2 linked regions of the Struthio camelus genome follow. The protein of the gene in region 1 interacts with the protein of each later gene in a biochemical or structural test. Links are inferred from orthologs where the notes say so. Each region holds a gene or a part of one and is shown on either strand. Other genes may lie near its edges.

Evidence for each region. The genes of interacting proteins can lie anywhere in the genome.
Region 2: the proteins of MPDZ (region 1) and CYSLTR2 interact in a test that uses a peptide from one of them, tested with the Homo sapiens proteins (2 studies listed by IntAct, with this or other methods). The link is inferred for Struthio camelus from reciprocal best matches to the Homo sapiens genes MPDZ and CYSLTR2.

Annotation. Positions count from the first base shown.
Region 1 is NC_090982.1:21,775,358-21,782,956, reverse strand, and holds the start of MPDZ (multiple PDZ domain protein), read left to right. Parts: upstream 1-4,549; 5' UTR 4,550-4,567; intron 4,568-4,688; exon of another isoform or gene 4,689-4,763; intron 4,764-5,307; exon of another isoform or gene 5,308-5,399; intron 5,400-7,599. UniProt on the Homo sapiens protein: Member of the NMDAR signaling complex that may play a role in control of AMPAR potentiation and synaptic plasticity in excitatory synapses. Promotes clustering of HT2RC at the cell surface.
Region 2 is NC_090942.1:192,358,713-192,366,543, reverse strand, and holds the start of CYSLTR2 (cysteinyl leukotriene receptor 2), read right to left. Parts: upstream 3,031-7,831; 5' UTR 2,924-3,030; intron 2,809-2,923; exon of another isoform or gene 2,624-2,808; 5' UTR 2,555-2,623; intron 1-2,554. UniProt on the Homo sapiens protein: Receptor for cysteinyl leukotrienes. The response is mediated via a G-protein that activates a phosphatidylinositol-calcium second messenger system.

The sequences.
Region 1 (7,599 bases):
GCTTCACTTCACTGCTATGGGCAAGGCCTGTGGTATTAAACAATCCTGTTTGTATGTAAATAAATGCCCTTTTAATTTGCCATAATTTCAAGTTTTTTGTTTTGTAGTTGAGAATAATTAACATACCTTTTATGATTTTTTTTACTCTGTTCTACCTTCCGGGGCATACTTTCTCTTCCAGACACATGTGTAACCTCCAATAGCAATAATAACAGTTATGAAGTATGTCTGCAGGGGAGACAATTTCCCTAAAAACCTTTAAAATGTAAATCTATGCAACATTCCTGCCAAAATGTATGCTCCAGTAAGTGAAACTAATATTCTGTACTTGCCAGGACAATAATCCAAAAATGGAATAAATTCCAAACACCATACTTAAGAGAAAGTTCGTAATTTCAACTTTGCATAATAACATGCATGGTGTTCCCTCCAACTGCATAGTTACTTCTTGCCATCTGACTTTCGAAGTGTAACTTTTATGTTGAGGTGAGGGAGGAGAAGAGTGTTATATTTAACTTGATTGTATGCTTCTATTAGTAAAACTTCTGGAAAACGTAGTACACACGTATTGTATTCTAACCAGTTCCATGAAAAAGAAGAAAAATACTGATGCAGCCTTATTTGGACAGATAAGGATAGAATGCATAACCACATGCTTAATATATTTGGATTAGCAGCTATAACAATTACGATCACAGTTACCTTTGATGTCAGATTAGTTTTCTACAATTTAGTTCTAGTTAATGCAATAGATTACTCTTAACGCACACATCTGGGAATAACATTTGATTTATAATTATTAGTATTTTCTGACAAGGAAGGTTGTTAATAGTTGTGTTTAGTCTAAATTATGAACAAATGCTCTATTCGAAAGTATAATAATGTGTCTATGTATTCATACATTCACATGCATATACAGTGGCCAAAATTATGCTCTAAGTATTGAAGGGTAAGGTATAAAAACTGAAATTTATTTTTAATTAAGGTAGTGCTTATGAAAAAGGTTTATTGGAATCTTTCCTTGGGTTTTATTCATAATTCAGAAATGGAATTTGCCAAGCAGAGAAGTCAATACTTACATATCTATGACTATGTCTATATAAATATACAAATATGTAAATTATACATGTGTGTGTCTTTTATATATATAAAAAAAATATATAAAACATACACATCGATAACATCCAACAGCTAAGTCTACGCACAAATACAATACCCAGAGTGATTAGACTAAGCAACTCTTTCTGTCAATACATCTGTTTCTTAGGAGACAGACTGACTTGTGCCATAAATGCAGTCAAATGTCCTTCAGAGGCAACATCCTTTTTCCAGGGAAGTCAATGTTTGTGAGTCAAAAAGAGTGGAATCAGACGCACTCACATTTCATTTGCTGGATCCTGTTCCCATTACCATTTTAAAAGACTACATTCCCAACGGTGGTCTAATGGATGACTTAATGGATGCTTATGCTTCTATTTCTAAATACTTTTTTGTGCATTTACTTTTCCTTCATGTCTTCTAATAAATCTATGCAGTACACCATTAACACTAATCTGTGCTATTTTACTAGCAAGATGTGAATACCAGAAGTAAATCAGGAAGACAGACATGTCATCCAATATTGATGTTTCTTCCATGAGCATTTTTTAAATTGGCTTCAGAAATGAAATATTACTGGAGACTAATATTAGACAAAATCAAATGTTTTTTTTAGTTCCCTCTTCATCTCCTCCTTAAGAGTCCTTTCTGACAGACTATTACATTAGTAATTAGAAGTATTACTTTACTTACTTTTGTCATAATAGCAAGTCTCTGAGAAAAACTTGTTTTACAAAGCTATTTGTAGTTTTTATTTAAAATTACATGCTTTTCTATATGTAGACAAATTGATTAATCTTTAGTTTGTAAACACATTTATACTTGGCATGCAAAGTAGATTCTCTTCCCTCCCAGTTTAAGGATAACAGTATAGTTCAAAACTATACCGTACTGACCGGTACGCTACCCGCACTAACGAAGGCATGACACCACCCCAAGCCCTGCGTGACAGCGTACACCACCCAGCCCACCCCTTAACCTTCCTTCTCTGGGAAGCAGCCGCAGAGGTGACAGCTTTACTCAGTGTGGAGTCTGTAAAATGACTCTCTTTTTGTCCTACTTGGTAGCACCTTCTGTGGAAAGAAGAAACAAGTAAATATGAATTGTCTATTGGGTGTCTGTCTAGTCATCTCCCTAAACTGGTTATCAAGTAGACCTGCAGGACAGCTACTGTACTCCAACCCTCAATACTTTTCCTTGCGAAAACTGTGTCAGCATGAAGATAATCAGTTATTTTAAATGAGTTCATTACGTTACAGTGATGCAAATTCCTGGTACAGATGTGCTGCCGCCTGTTTACCAGGCGGCTAGGTTTGAGGGTGCTGCTAAGTTGGTATAATTATATCCACGCAAATACTTTTAATACAGGCAAGGCCTAAGGTAGCATGATTCTTTGAACTTCAGTGAGTATAATCTACTTAATATATACTGCGACAGCCATGGTAAAATCTGAATATTATTGTAGACGAAATTCTACTTGAGAATAGCAGATTGTGTATTAAAAGAATTATCTGGAAGATATATCCCACACAAATACAAGTTGCAATGGGAAGAACTACTGCACAGCTGATATTGCTATACATTGGAAAGAATAAACTGCCATTTGGTTTTGGCCCATTTTTAGCTGCAAATATGCTTACTAGTGTCACTGTATTATATTTCAGAGGGATGTCAAGGTCAAGGCCAGAGCAACAGAATTAATAACAATAGTTGTTACTAATTCTGTTATTAATTCTACATTGAATGTTCTACATTCATCTAACCCACTGTGGTTCTTTTATAGATTGAATAATGATGTACACAAACGAGCTGTACCTTCTTTTTAATATTTCATTCTGGAGTCATGCAACATGGAAAGCTGGTGGGACGCTTTATAGAGCAGTCACTTTTATAACTATAGCAAATCGACTCTCAACATTTAATTTAAAGGATCAGTATGTTAACAGGCAAATGTTAGATCAAAAAATGTGAACGTGTGATTTCCAGATCTTGAAAATGGTTACGTTTTTCTCAGGTAAGCTATGGAAGAATGACTGTCAAGCAGGTGTGATTACATGCACTTCCATGTACAACAGACAAAAAAGAAGCTAATCAACTGGAGTTCTTCAATCTGACAGCTGTAATAAACAAGAGAAATACAGTGTAGGGTAATTTTTTTTTCAAAAGATAATGTGCAAAATTAAAACAATCAAAATAATCCTGGAAGTGTACAAAGACCCATGTATCTTAAACTTTACACAAGAAATTTCCAACTCGTGAAAGTGCCTTCACCAAGGCTGCACTTAATGATCTTCTTTTAAATATTAGAATGGTATTCCACTGTATCTCGCAAATAATGACTTTTAAAAAATTGTTTATGGGAGAAAAAAACAACTATCACACGAATATGATAACACTTGCAATTCAAATATGTTTGGAGAGAAAAACAAATCAAACGAGAAGACAAGCAAAATTACAAAGTACCCAGCTTCTGCAGAGATGGCGTATTCAGTAGAACACTCCAGATTTCTTTTTAGCTTGAAGGGTGTTATCACAACAGAGCTGACTGAGTAAACATACTTGGCAGCAACAAGGGTAGACCATGATCCTAACCACATTAGCTAGAAGAAGCAAATTTAACAAACAAAAAGCAAAACACTTGGACTTTTTGGTGAACTAATTTCTGTTGTCATAGCAATCATTTTAGCTTTATGTTCTTTAGTCTTATGACATTTATACGTAGGTGTAAGGTATACAGCATCTTCACATTTTTACTTAAGACACTAATCTGCAATTGCTCAAAAAGAGGGATAATTACCTCCTATTTAGTCCTATGACATTATTCATCATTTTGTCTTATTCCATCATGTTTTATTTCCAAACACTCCCTTTTTTTTCCCCATTCAAACGTGGGCTCATTTTGTTCAGACTGTGTTAGGGCAAAAAAACGGTGGCTTGCTGGGAGAACAAGAAGGGGTGGCACGCTCTTGCACTGGTGGGTTGTGGCAGAATGAGTTAGCAGACCAGGCCCAAACTTTGCAGCGGGCATATCTACAAAACGTAGAAGAGTTTCTTAGAGGGACAGCGCATAGCATCTTTTTAAATATTCAGAGGGGAGCTCAATGGCACCTGGTTAATTTTACAAGCAGCCCTTCAAAGTGGGAAATCGGAGAAAATTAGTGCAGAGAAACAAAATTAGCACCAACCTACTTTTAGATCTGATCACGTAGGCTAACATCTCTGCGTGCTGAGCCCCTCTGCCCAGTGTGCCGCCTTGCCGGCAGCAAACGCAGGAAGTTTACTGAGGGGACGCTAATGCAAAAGAAAAACCAAACCGAACCAAACTAAAACCAACAGTGAGGGAGATGGATGGGAAGCCCTAAGACGATTTTTCTCCCCCCCCCCTTTTTTTTTCTGTCCTACCCACGCTGCAAACCGGGAGCGCCGCTGCGCGGGGCGCGCTGCCGGCCGGGGCCGGGGCCCCGGGGCGGTGAGCGAGCGCGGGGGGCCGCGCCGGAGCGGCGGGGGGGGCGGCGGGCAGGATTAGGTTTCAGGGCCGCCGGGGCGTGCCTGCGTGCGCTGCCCCCGCGGCGTGGCGCGGCGCGGCGCGGCGCGGCTGGGCTCGGCGCCGCTGCGCGGGGGCGGGCAGGGCGCAGGCGGCGAGCGGGGCCCGCGGAGCCGGCGCGGTAAGCGGGGCGCGGGGGGCGGCGGTGGCGCTTTGCCCCGGCGGGGGGGGGCGAGGGAGGGGGCCAGCGCCCATCGCCGGCCCCCACGGAGCGGGGTGCCGGCCGTAAGGGAGTTTTGAGTTTATTTCATGTGCATTTGATTTATTTCATTTATTTCGCAAAGTTGTTCTGTTTTTTTTTTTTTTTTAATTTTCCACTTATTTATTTTCCCGAGCGGCTGGGTTTTGCGGGGGAGGGGGTGGTGGCGGTGTGGAGGAGGAGAAGAGAGGCCTTGGAGGGAAGGGGGCCGGGGAGCTGCGGGCGCCGGCGGAGCCTGTTGCGTGTGCCCGGGGGCGGGGGGGGGGGGGCGGCGGGGAGCGGGCTGGGCTCCCCGGCCGCCCCGCGCCTCCTGCCCGATGCTCCCCGGGCTCGGCCCGCCTGCCCGGCACTCCTCCCGATGTAAACAAAAGCCGGGTCTCCTCCTGTTGCTGCAAGGCTGGCTTTCATTTTGCTTTCGCTCCCTACTACCCCTCCCTCCTTTTTTTTTTTTTTTTCCTCCTCCCAGTGGGGATTTTTTCATCTTTGCAGAAGGTCTCCTCCCTCACCCCCCGGCTTCTCACCTGCTGCGCTCTGCGCACCCGAGACCTATTTTGGAAGGTGTGTTTTGCGAGTGATGCCGTGGTGGTGTTTACCGCTCCCTCCTCGGGGAGGACTGAGCTCGGCTCTGAAATCCCCTGCCCTCCGAGTGTGTGGGGGGGTGAGGTGGGGGGGGTGCTGCGGCCGGAGGGGGAAGACGGGACATGCCGCAGACATGTTGCATGCGCAGTGGCCTGCGTCGAGCCCGAGTGGGATGTGACTGATGGGAACCAGCCTCCTCCTGGACCGCTTGTGCCAGAGGGTTTGCGCAGCGCTAGCAGCCGGCGGCGGCAGCAGTGCTGGGCGATGGCCCTGAGACGGACCCCCCGCAGCAGACGCCACCACTGCCCCTACTTTGCTTAGCAAGTCGGTGGTCCTGGAGGCGCTTAGGTTCTCAGCCAGGTCTTGTGGCGCCAAAACTCAGTTATAAGTGAAAACCAGCAAAACTCAAAAGGCCCAGCCAAAACCACTAGTTCTGTGCAGCAGATCTGTGTGAAAGACTCCATAAAAACTGGCTGGCTCTTTGATGTCATTGTAACTGCTGATAAGAGGTCACCAGTGTTTTTGGTCTTATCTTTCTTTATCAGTTATTTTATTGACGTTGGGGAGTTCTTGCAGTTATGGTCTCAATTACAGCTTTCTAAAGCCCAGTGGGTATTTATTTAAACGTTAATCCACGTTACACAGTGCCTTTAGAGGGGCCTAAATTTTGCCTTTTGATAGATTTGGCCAATGGATACTGCATAAGTTATATTAAGAGAAAGGTATAGTTTTCGGAGTAATTTCTTTTCCTGTGTGATTTTCCTTCTTCCTTCAAGAACATTCATAAACTATTGGAAAGAATAATAGTCTGTCACAAAGCTGGCAGCTTAACTCCCTGTACTGCATTTAACAGATTTGATTTATTATTTTGCTGAACAGTGTTTTATCCTTTTTCTCTCCTCGTCCTTTTTTTTTTTTTTCCTGCAGTGGTCAAAATAGCACCCCAGCCGTTTATATTTTTGCTCCTCAACGCTTGCAGGAAATTTTCCTAGTACAGCCTGTTGGATGGAAGATGTCATTAGTGGTTTTGATAACAGAAAGTGCAGCACGGGTTTTTTACTCAAGCAGAGCAGTGGCCTACTGTGTTAAAGGGTCTGAATTCTGCAGTTCTTGGAAGTTTATTTTGAAATGCCAGTTGGTATCAGTATCAGCAGTGCATTTCCCTAGATAACAACTGAATGGGAGGGAAGAATCTGAACTAGGAAGGAGGAAAGTAGTAAAATGTTAATGGGAAATGCTACTTGATGCTCACAGGCAAATGGAAAGGTGTGTAACATTAGAAGAAAAGAGCGTAGTACTAAAATATCTGAGGACATATTTACATAGATATTAACTAGCAACAAGTTTTATGATAGAGAGCATCATCTTAGCTTTTTTTTCCCCCAAAACTTTTGTCAGTTTTTAGAATATATTTTTTGTACTTCCATGTTATTAACAGGAACATGCATGTAACAGTTGCATGTAACAGTTTCTAATGGTTTCCTTTGTGTTCTCAAGAAATTTTTCTTCAGGAGCTGGATACATTCTTCCCTCTCTTAACGTGAAAGCGTACTAGGAAAGTTAGATCAATATCAACACTAGGGAAAGAAGAGCTGCACTGCTTACATACTAATTTTCTGTCTGACTCTGTGTCTGTGAGCCCCGGGGGGATTAATGCCATACAACTTTTTAGTCACTCAGAGCACTGTAGATGATCTGTGCTTCTTATTCTTTTTTCTTTTTTAATTGATCCCTCTTTAATCACTGTAGTGAAAACCGTTATAAAGACCCTTTAAATCATCTGATCCGTGTTTCATATAAGCAAATTTAAAATTCTGTAGATAAGATTTAGTACACTTTATATCTAAATGGCTTTGCATTAAAAGCACTCCATTAAAGCAGTTTAAAGCTAGTGGAGTACCATGCTGTTGGCATACAGTCTTACCATTGGTAGAGGTAGTTTTGTTTCGCCAATTGGAATTCCCAGCAAGACAACATCTAAATATGTCATTTTGTTTTCAGTGCCCTCTTTTTGCTTAAAATAATGCTTTGTGGTACTATTGGCTCGTGCTTCTGGAATAACTGCCGAGGCAGTATTGGGGTATTTCTCTCACAGGCTTTTCAGACCTGCTCCTTGCATCTGAGCAGCCTGCTTATTACGTGTTGTAACAATGATCAGCACTGCTCTTCTTGCATTTTC
Region 2 (7,831 bases), on another chromosome or scaffold:
CACACACATACACATATATGTGTGTATATATATATGCATACAAATATATATATAAATACATATATGTATATATCTATATATATGTATTTATATAGTTGAATTTTCTAAAAGCCTTTGATAAAGTTCTGCACCAAAAGTTTTCTAATGAACTAAGTTGCCAGAGATCTAGAAGACAGTTTCTTTTATGGACTGAAAGCTGGTTAAAGCGTAGGAAGAAAAAGTGTAGGGCTTAATGAATCAGCAGCGTGGTCTCTAGGGCTTTGTGCTTGGTCCAGGTTTGTTCAGTATCTTTGTCAATGACCTGGAGAAGGGTGTGTGCAGAGAAATCTCCAGGCTGGCAGATGACCCTGAGCTTTTCAACACTATGCTGAAAAGGTGGCAGATGATCTTTAGTGTAGTTTCATGTAAGGTGATGCAGCTTCGGAAAAATAATCTAAACCATGCCTATGTGATACAGAACTTGAAACTAGCTGTTTCATTCAGGAAAGAGCATGTGTTTGGCATTGGTGATGGAGTCATTGTTGACAGGCTACTGAAGTCATTTCTGCCTTGACTGGAGCAACATCCGAAAAAGCCAACAAAATGAGGGGCATCATCAAGAAGGCTATGCAGAAAAAAGCAGGGTGCATCTTTGTATAAAACCTCCATGCATCCCTGCCGTGAACACCGTGTGAAGTTCTAGTCTCTGCACCCAAGAGGGACATAACGGAGTTAGAGGAGGGTCAAAGAGAGGTGAGTGAAATGATCAAGAGACAGAGCAGGGGCTAAGAGGCTGGGACCCTTCAGTGTGGCAGGACAAGGCTGAAGAAGAATGCGATCACGGCTTACAGACGTGTCGAAGTGTCAGATGGTGTGAATGCAAACTGTTGCTCATGGGTCCTGCAGCACTAGGGACACTCAACAGACTTGATGGGAGCCTGTTTTCAACCAGTGAGTACAGCTGGTATCAGCTGGTCCAAAACAGGGTTGGACAAATTCAAGGACAATAAATGGGAAATAAAGGACTAGGCAGGGATATACCCTCTAGCACCCCTAAACAACAGTTAGGGGTGCTGGGGGAATACAATGGCAATGCACTGCAGAAGGTGATCCAGCTCTCATGGTCTCTCTAAACAGCATTGCCTGTCACCACCATCAGAGACGGAATATTGGGCTAGACGGTGGTTGGTCTGAGCCACCAGCTCATTTCTTACAGTTGTACTCTGCTCCCAATTTATGCAACACCACCAACTCAGTTGATCAACTCAACAAAAGTTGGTCAACTCAACTCAACAAATCAACTCAATTGATTTCTCTGTGTTGCTCCTACTTTCTGCTTGTGAAGTGAAACCAGTACCAACAGTGATCCTAAAAACCCTGTATGACTCTGTAGGTCAAAAAATTATTACTGGGAAAACCGTAACAGTCAGTAGCCCTGGGCTTTCCCAGTTCTGGTAGAGGGCTAAATCAAGAACAGCCAAGTCAGCCCGTAACTCAGCCGACAGCGGGAAAGATTTCTGCGCCAGGCTGGAACAGGAGGAATCCCTCCCTTTGGGGAGGTTTGTTGGAGGGGTGCTGCTGCTAAAGGTGTGAGGATGAAATTCTTCATGTCCAGACTGCTGGAAACTTTCAAGTGAAGGTTCTGATATCTGCCCTTCTGAAACGTCGCGCTCACCAGGAAGCGAGGAACTACCGAAGAACCTAATTTAAATACGGTGTTGCACATATGCAAAGTCAAATAGAGAAATCTATTCATGCAAAATATGGTTCTGTGTTTAGTGATAAAGATACAGATAACGATAATATCTTTATACAGATAAGATACAGATAAGACAATATCTTTAGTGATAAAGATAAAGATAAACTTCTGGGTAGCAAGAAAAAGAGATGCTCTGCACGTCTATCACAATATGCCTTTGTCTGAGGAATACTTCAGACACCAGAGTCCCGTGTTTGTTATCTGAAGAGGAAGGTTGTTATGATATCTTTGCTACATGGGAGCATTCATGTCAGATTACTTGCATTTGTTGCCGCACTATGAGAAAAAAAGAGAAGCTCTAATTTTTTTTAAAGTTCCCATTTGCTTTCTTTCTAGCACACATTTTATGTTTCAGGAGCAGCATTACCAAAAATAAATATAACAAAATGTGATGTCTGAAATTAACACTAAATTCAATTCACTGAAACGTATGGCGTTTTATTAACTTTTCTACATGGATGATAATAAAAAAAAAATCGAGATCTTGACCTTTAACACTTTTTTGTTTTAAAAGTTTGCCATGAACAAAGTTTGTCATATTGGTCTAGCTAAAAAAACAGGACTCACTCAGATCCACCACTTGATTGCTATCTTCTGTCTGGTAAAACTCCTACTTACATCAAGTCACACTTTTTTCTTCCAAATAAAATTTTCAAGCCTGGCTTTAGCATAAAGAACGTTAGTCAGTGATTATAGTTGCTAGCAAAAACAAAGCTTACAGCAAGTAACAAGAAACGCAAGTAAGTTGCATTTTAATTATTACAACCATTTTTTATCTACATCAGAAAAAGAAAAAGCAGACAAATCTTGTCCTACCTCAGCTTTTCTGCCTTCTGGTGTCTTCGGTATTTCCTTCTTCTGCTTTTTGTTGTTCACAACTTGCAGCTTTGTTAGTGCAAAGGAAAAACACAGAAACTTGAATCAAAAAAACACGAGTGCTATTTATGCAGAAGCCACAGAGGGGTGATGAGCAGTAGGAAGGGGAAGTAAATCCTTATTAACAGATCTTATATTTTCTTAAGTGAGAAATGTTTTCAGCTCAAGGAGTGGTACTAGTAATCACATGGCAATGTTTTATACTTTTCATCCAATGAAAGAGGCCCTGCAGCTAAGCAGTGATCTTGGACGCCTTTTGGATTTCTATATTTGGGCTCTCACTTCTGTTTATTTGCTTCCGATACTCACAGTTGATGGATGTTTTTGGAAATCATGCTATAAAGCTTAACACGGATCATTAGGGACGTAGTTCTTGGAATTATTAAGACGACACATGCCAGCGGTTATTAGTCAGGCTTTTTACTGCAGAAAGCACATCAAAAACATCATCATAAGCAGGCAGCCAGGAGCTGATGGGTAATGTGACTCAGCCCACACTTCCAGGGTGAATTTACAGAACCGAAGGACTAGTTTTCCTTGAATTTTCATAGGACCTGAATACACAGTACTGTTAGGTCATGGACACGTGTCTGCAGCAAATGCCTTACCGCCCCTTAACATTTTACCACTCATCAGTGGATCGGCGTTAAATGGGTGCTCCTAGCCCACTGCAATTGAGCAGTAGGTATCTGTGCGCGCTGTAGGTGTAACAGGTTGGTTATTCCTCCTCTGTGGTGTCAGCGCACACCGGCAGATCAGATGTATTCAAGTGTCTCTCGGCTGCTATGTTTTATTTCCTAGCTGCCGCAGGCTAGGCATCCACGCAGGGTCGTTACCATTGCTCGGTGAATGGAGAGTCTCCTCCTAAAACCTTCTGAGCACCTACATTTGTAGTCGTCTATGCTCCCAAGCTCTCCTGGTAATCCCGCTTGCAGCCTACCCTACATTGCCACCTGTGTCTGATTCTCATTTATAGCAAGATCCCTTCTCTCTAGCTGTATAAAGGACCTTTAGACCAGGTAAAAATTGCCCTCTGGGCGTGCTCCACATGGCAGGGGGGCTGAGTGGGTGATGTGCAGTGTCTGCAAAGACCTGTGTCACCAGACTTCACAAATCTCTGCATAGAGGGGGGCTTGCAAACACAGCTCAGCATTTTTTACTTCATGAAGCTGAAAAAGGACATAGGGAATCATGTGCAGGACTGCTCCAGCTTAGCTAAGGGTGAGGCGAGGACCTTCAGTCTCTGGAGCAAGCTGTGAACATTTGCCCACGTTTGCCTTGACAGTGCAAAGTCCGTTTAAAATGCTAGCAATCCCTTTTAAATGAATTTGCGAGGTGCAGAGTGACAGTGAATTAGGGGTCCTCTTGAGACCGCTCCACGGGTGCCTAGCACAGACATTGCAAACTCATGCGGCATGTAAGGCCGTAGGTTTGTGTCCCTTCCCAGTTGTGGTGATGCTGGCTGGTATGGTTACTCTCACAGCTGTCTCCCCATCTGTCAAGCGTTGCTGGCAGAGCCGCACAAGTGCATGTCCCCGGCCACGCTTTGGTCAGTGAAGCAGGGTACCTTAGATACCTGAAATAGGGGGTCTTCGCTAACGTAGCTCATTTGAACTGCAGCAGGATAGGAAATGACCCCACAAGCTGCTTGGCAGGCAGATTTTGGGGCAGAGACCTTTAGGAAGAAGCTGTGACGTGCAGCACGGCCCCGGCCAGAGGAGAACTGTGCCCGCTGGAGCCATTTGGAAGATGCCCCAGTAATTCAGACTGCCTTTTATCTGCAACAGGCAGAGATGCTGTGATGACTAATGTTGGCATTGCAATAGCAGCCTGATGACATCTGCATCACATGGCACGCTGCGATAATTGCACTGGGACTGATAAGCAGGTTGTTCACAGACACCAAAACATGTGGAAGAGTTAGGCATTGATCACATTTTGTTTTCCTGAATGCGTTTTGAGAATGCCTCTTTCATCACGTGACACGCTTGCCCGGATAATTTGTTACATCCACCTTCTTAAAAGGCCTGCTTTCTGGAGAGTACTATTTCTTCTCCTTACCAAAGTAATGCTGTATTTCCTTTCCAGATTGTTTCAATAAATGGGGTCAGATGCCAACTCACCCTGCACCTGATAAGCTGGAGCTGGAGTGACTGTCTGGGATTTTTTAGAAACTGTCGTTGAATGACTCAGCTTCCGAGAGGAGTTTAGCACGTTTTTTGTTCATACAAACTTCAGTAATTCTGCAGAAGCCATCTCAATATCATGAAGAATAAAGGATTCTCATCGCAAGACACTGTGCACAAAACACATTCAACAGTTACCAGCCTAGATTTTCTCTGCATTTTAAGTCCCATTAAATGCAGAGATGGTCCAAGAAGCAGAAGCAGTGGAGCTGAGAGTGCAAACCACTAGGCTAAGCTGCAGTTGTGCTCACTCCTGCCTCTGTTTCTGTTCCCTTTTGCACTTCTGGCTCCATGGCAGCCCAGCTGCAAGAGAGAAAAGCAAGAGGGGGTGACTCATCCTTTCCTTTGCCCTCCTTTGCTTGCCCACCTCTGCCCCGGCACAGTGCCGGGGCGCTGCCCAAGGACGAGGGCTCAGCTCCCGCCAGCCCGCAAGCAAAGCCACCGTTGCAGGCTTTGAATCCCCGTCGCGTGAAGCAGCTGAACTTTGGACCTGAGCGAAGCATTCCAGGCCAAGAAAAGGCACAAATCTGAATTATTTCTATCAGCAAGTTCAAGCATCCTTGTGGCCTGAGCGCTCCCCGATGGGAGCGCCAGCGGAGGAGCCCATCTCCTGCGCTCACTGTGGGGGGCACCTAGCTCGGCAGCATGGACATCCCAAACTTTGAGGCATCGTGGTGCTGCACATCACGCTGCTACGTGCCCTGTAGGGCCAGGCCTCCCCCTGTAGCTGTACTGAAGTTGAGGTGATTGGGGAATTAATTCTCCAAAGGGGCAGTTTAGGCATTTTTTACCCCAAAGTGGTTTTCCCCTCCCAGGCACCTCTGCAGGCCACATCCTATCAGACCTGCTGCTGGGCTTCCTCCTGCCATAAGGCTGTTTCAAACGTCTCCGTGCAGTGACTTTCTGGCCCCCATAGAGCTGCTGTTGCTGCTCTGGGCAGCAGCAGAGCAGGTATCTCATTGCCAAAGCAGTGCCTGGGGCCCATGGGATGATTTGCCAATTCACTCTTCTCACTGGCTAGAGAGAAACGCCAGGTTTTGCCCCCTAAAGTGAAGGCAGCTGCTGTTTGAGGACAAGCACGTTGCCTGGTGCATCCATCCGTGGTTGCAGTCACGCGGGGCAGGCTGTCCTCCGCTTCACACTGCAACACAGGAAGCAGGGAGCTGCCTTTTTTGGCCACGGGGATCTGAAACCCGCCTGGGCAAGGCTGGGTGTCTGACGCACAGGCCCATCCAAACAGACCTGTAAAAGCACATCGCGCTGCTCGCAGGGCGTAGCAGGCAGTCGCACGCCAGCTCGTTCAGTCGGGCAGCCCCGCTGCCGCCCGGAGCAAACCTCGGGGCCGTGCACGGGAGACCTGGCAATCCCCAGCACCAAGGGATCTCCTGTGAGGCATCCAGTGACTCACACAGTGCAGAAGAAGGAGTCCATATATTTTTCCAGTTGCTCAGGCAATGTTTTGCTGTCTGCAGGCGTGAACGTCTAGTGTCGGAGTTTCACCTTCACATGCCAATAGATTTTTTGGCAGAAAGGGATATATCAAACAAACAGAAAGGATTACCTTCACTGAAGATTTTAATGCCTCACGTCTTCAACACAGCAGCTTAGCCTAGTAACACATATCTATTTCCAGAGACTAAAATTACAAAGCTTACATTCATTTTCTGTGCAGTCGAGAAAAAAAAATAGCATCAAATGTTAGTAGCTCATTTGCTGTCAGCCATAAGGCTGGATAGCTGGGAAGATCAAGGTGACTACTGCACGAGGAAGGGGGTAAAGAAGGAGGGGTAATCTTAACAGGCATTATTCGAAAGGAAAAGCACAGAAGGTTTTCAAGCTGTTCCTTTTGCAACATCAATAATGACATCTTTTTTAATTGCTTGTAGTCTTTTCTTAACAGTTTGCTGTTCCTCATTAATATACTAATGAAGGCAGAAGAATGTTAGCATATATCTGGAATGGAAAAAGACATCTAGTATTGTCTACATGTAAAATAAACTGCCTTTTTAAAAGTATAAAGTACTAAAACTGGAGAAGTTCTTTCACTGCCCCTCTAAAGGTGGTGTGTGCCTTGGGAAAAATTGATTGTCTTCAAAAGCCGTGGAGCCAATGGCAGCTGGCAGCATTAATGCACTTCCTAGAGTTTAATCGATCCAGTCCTCAACTGTGAAAAGAGTGAACTCGAGCAGGACAGAAAGCCAAACACTTTCTAAGGCCTTCATCTAAAGCCCATTGAAGTTATTGGAAAGAATAGAGCCTTTTTTTGGATTAAAACCTAAAGAAAACAGCCCCAGAAACTGTGACTGGAAAAAAAAGAACAGTGGTGTTTTTTTTTTTTAGGAACTAGCCAAAAGCATTTCAGTTTTAACACATGCAAGGTTGTCAGTGTGCCAGGAATATTTACTAATATTCTGTCTTCTCTGCATAGCCTGTCTTTCGAAACCTCTCTACTTCTCTATCCATCTCTCTATCCAGCACCATGTGGGTGTCACAGGGACCTTTTGCTTGTGTTATGCATTTCAACTAATTGCACAAACTGCAATTGCAACCTCTGTTATTTCTGTTTTCCATTTTATGTGTTAGACATGACAGAGTCGCACATTGATGGGAGTATGCAAGTGCAGAATGTGAAGGATTTGGCAGTGATTTAGTTACCCCTCTCTTAAGATATGACCACCTGTAGACTTATCACACATACATGTTGGCATGTGTATGGCATTTTACTGTAAGTTACCTACCCCCAAACCCGTCTTTTGATCTGTGTTTACCCCACTTTAAATGTTCTGCATGTCCCGTGCTATTCTGCTGGTCTCTCTCTTTATACACATCTAGAAACCAGAAGCAAAGCAAGCTTCCTCTCTTCCCTTTTTGCTGACTCTTCTATAATAGCCGTAACCCAACAGCTGGATAAAAACCACCAACAATATTGCAAAATTCAAATGATCAGGTTCAAGCGCTCTGCATCTTGTATTCAATGGCTAAACAGCACTATTAAAACATAGCCTGCAAGTCTCTCCACACAAACTCCAAC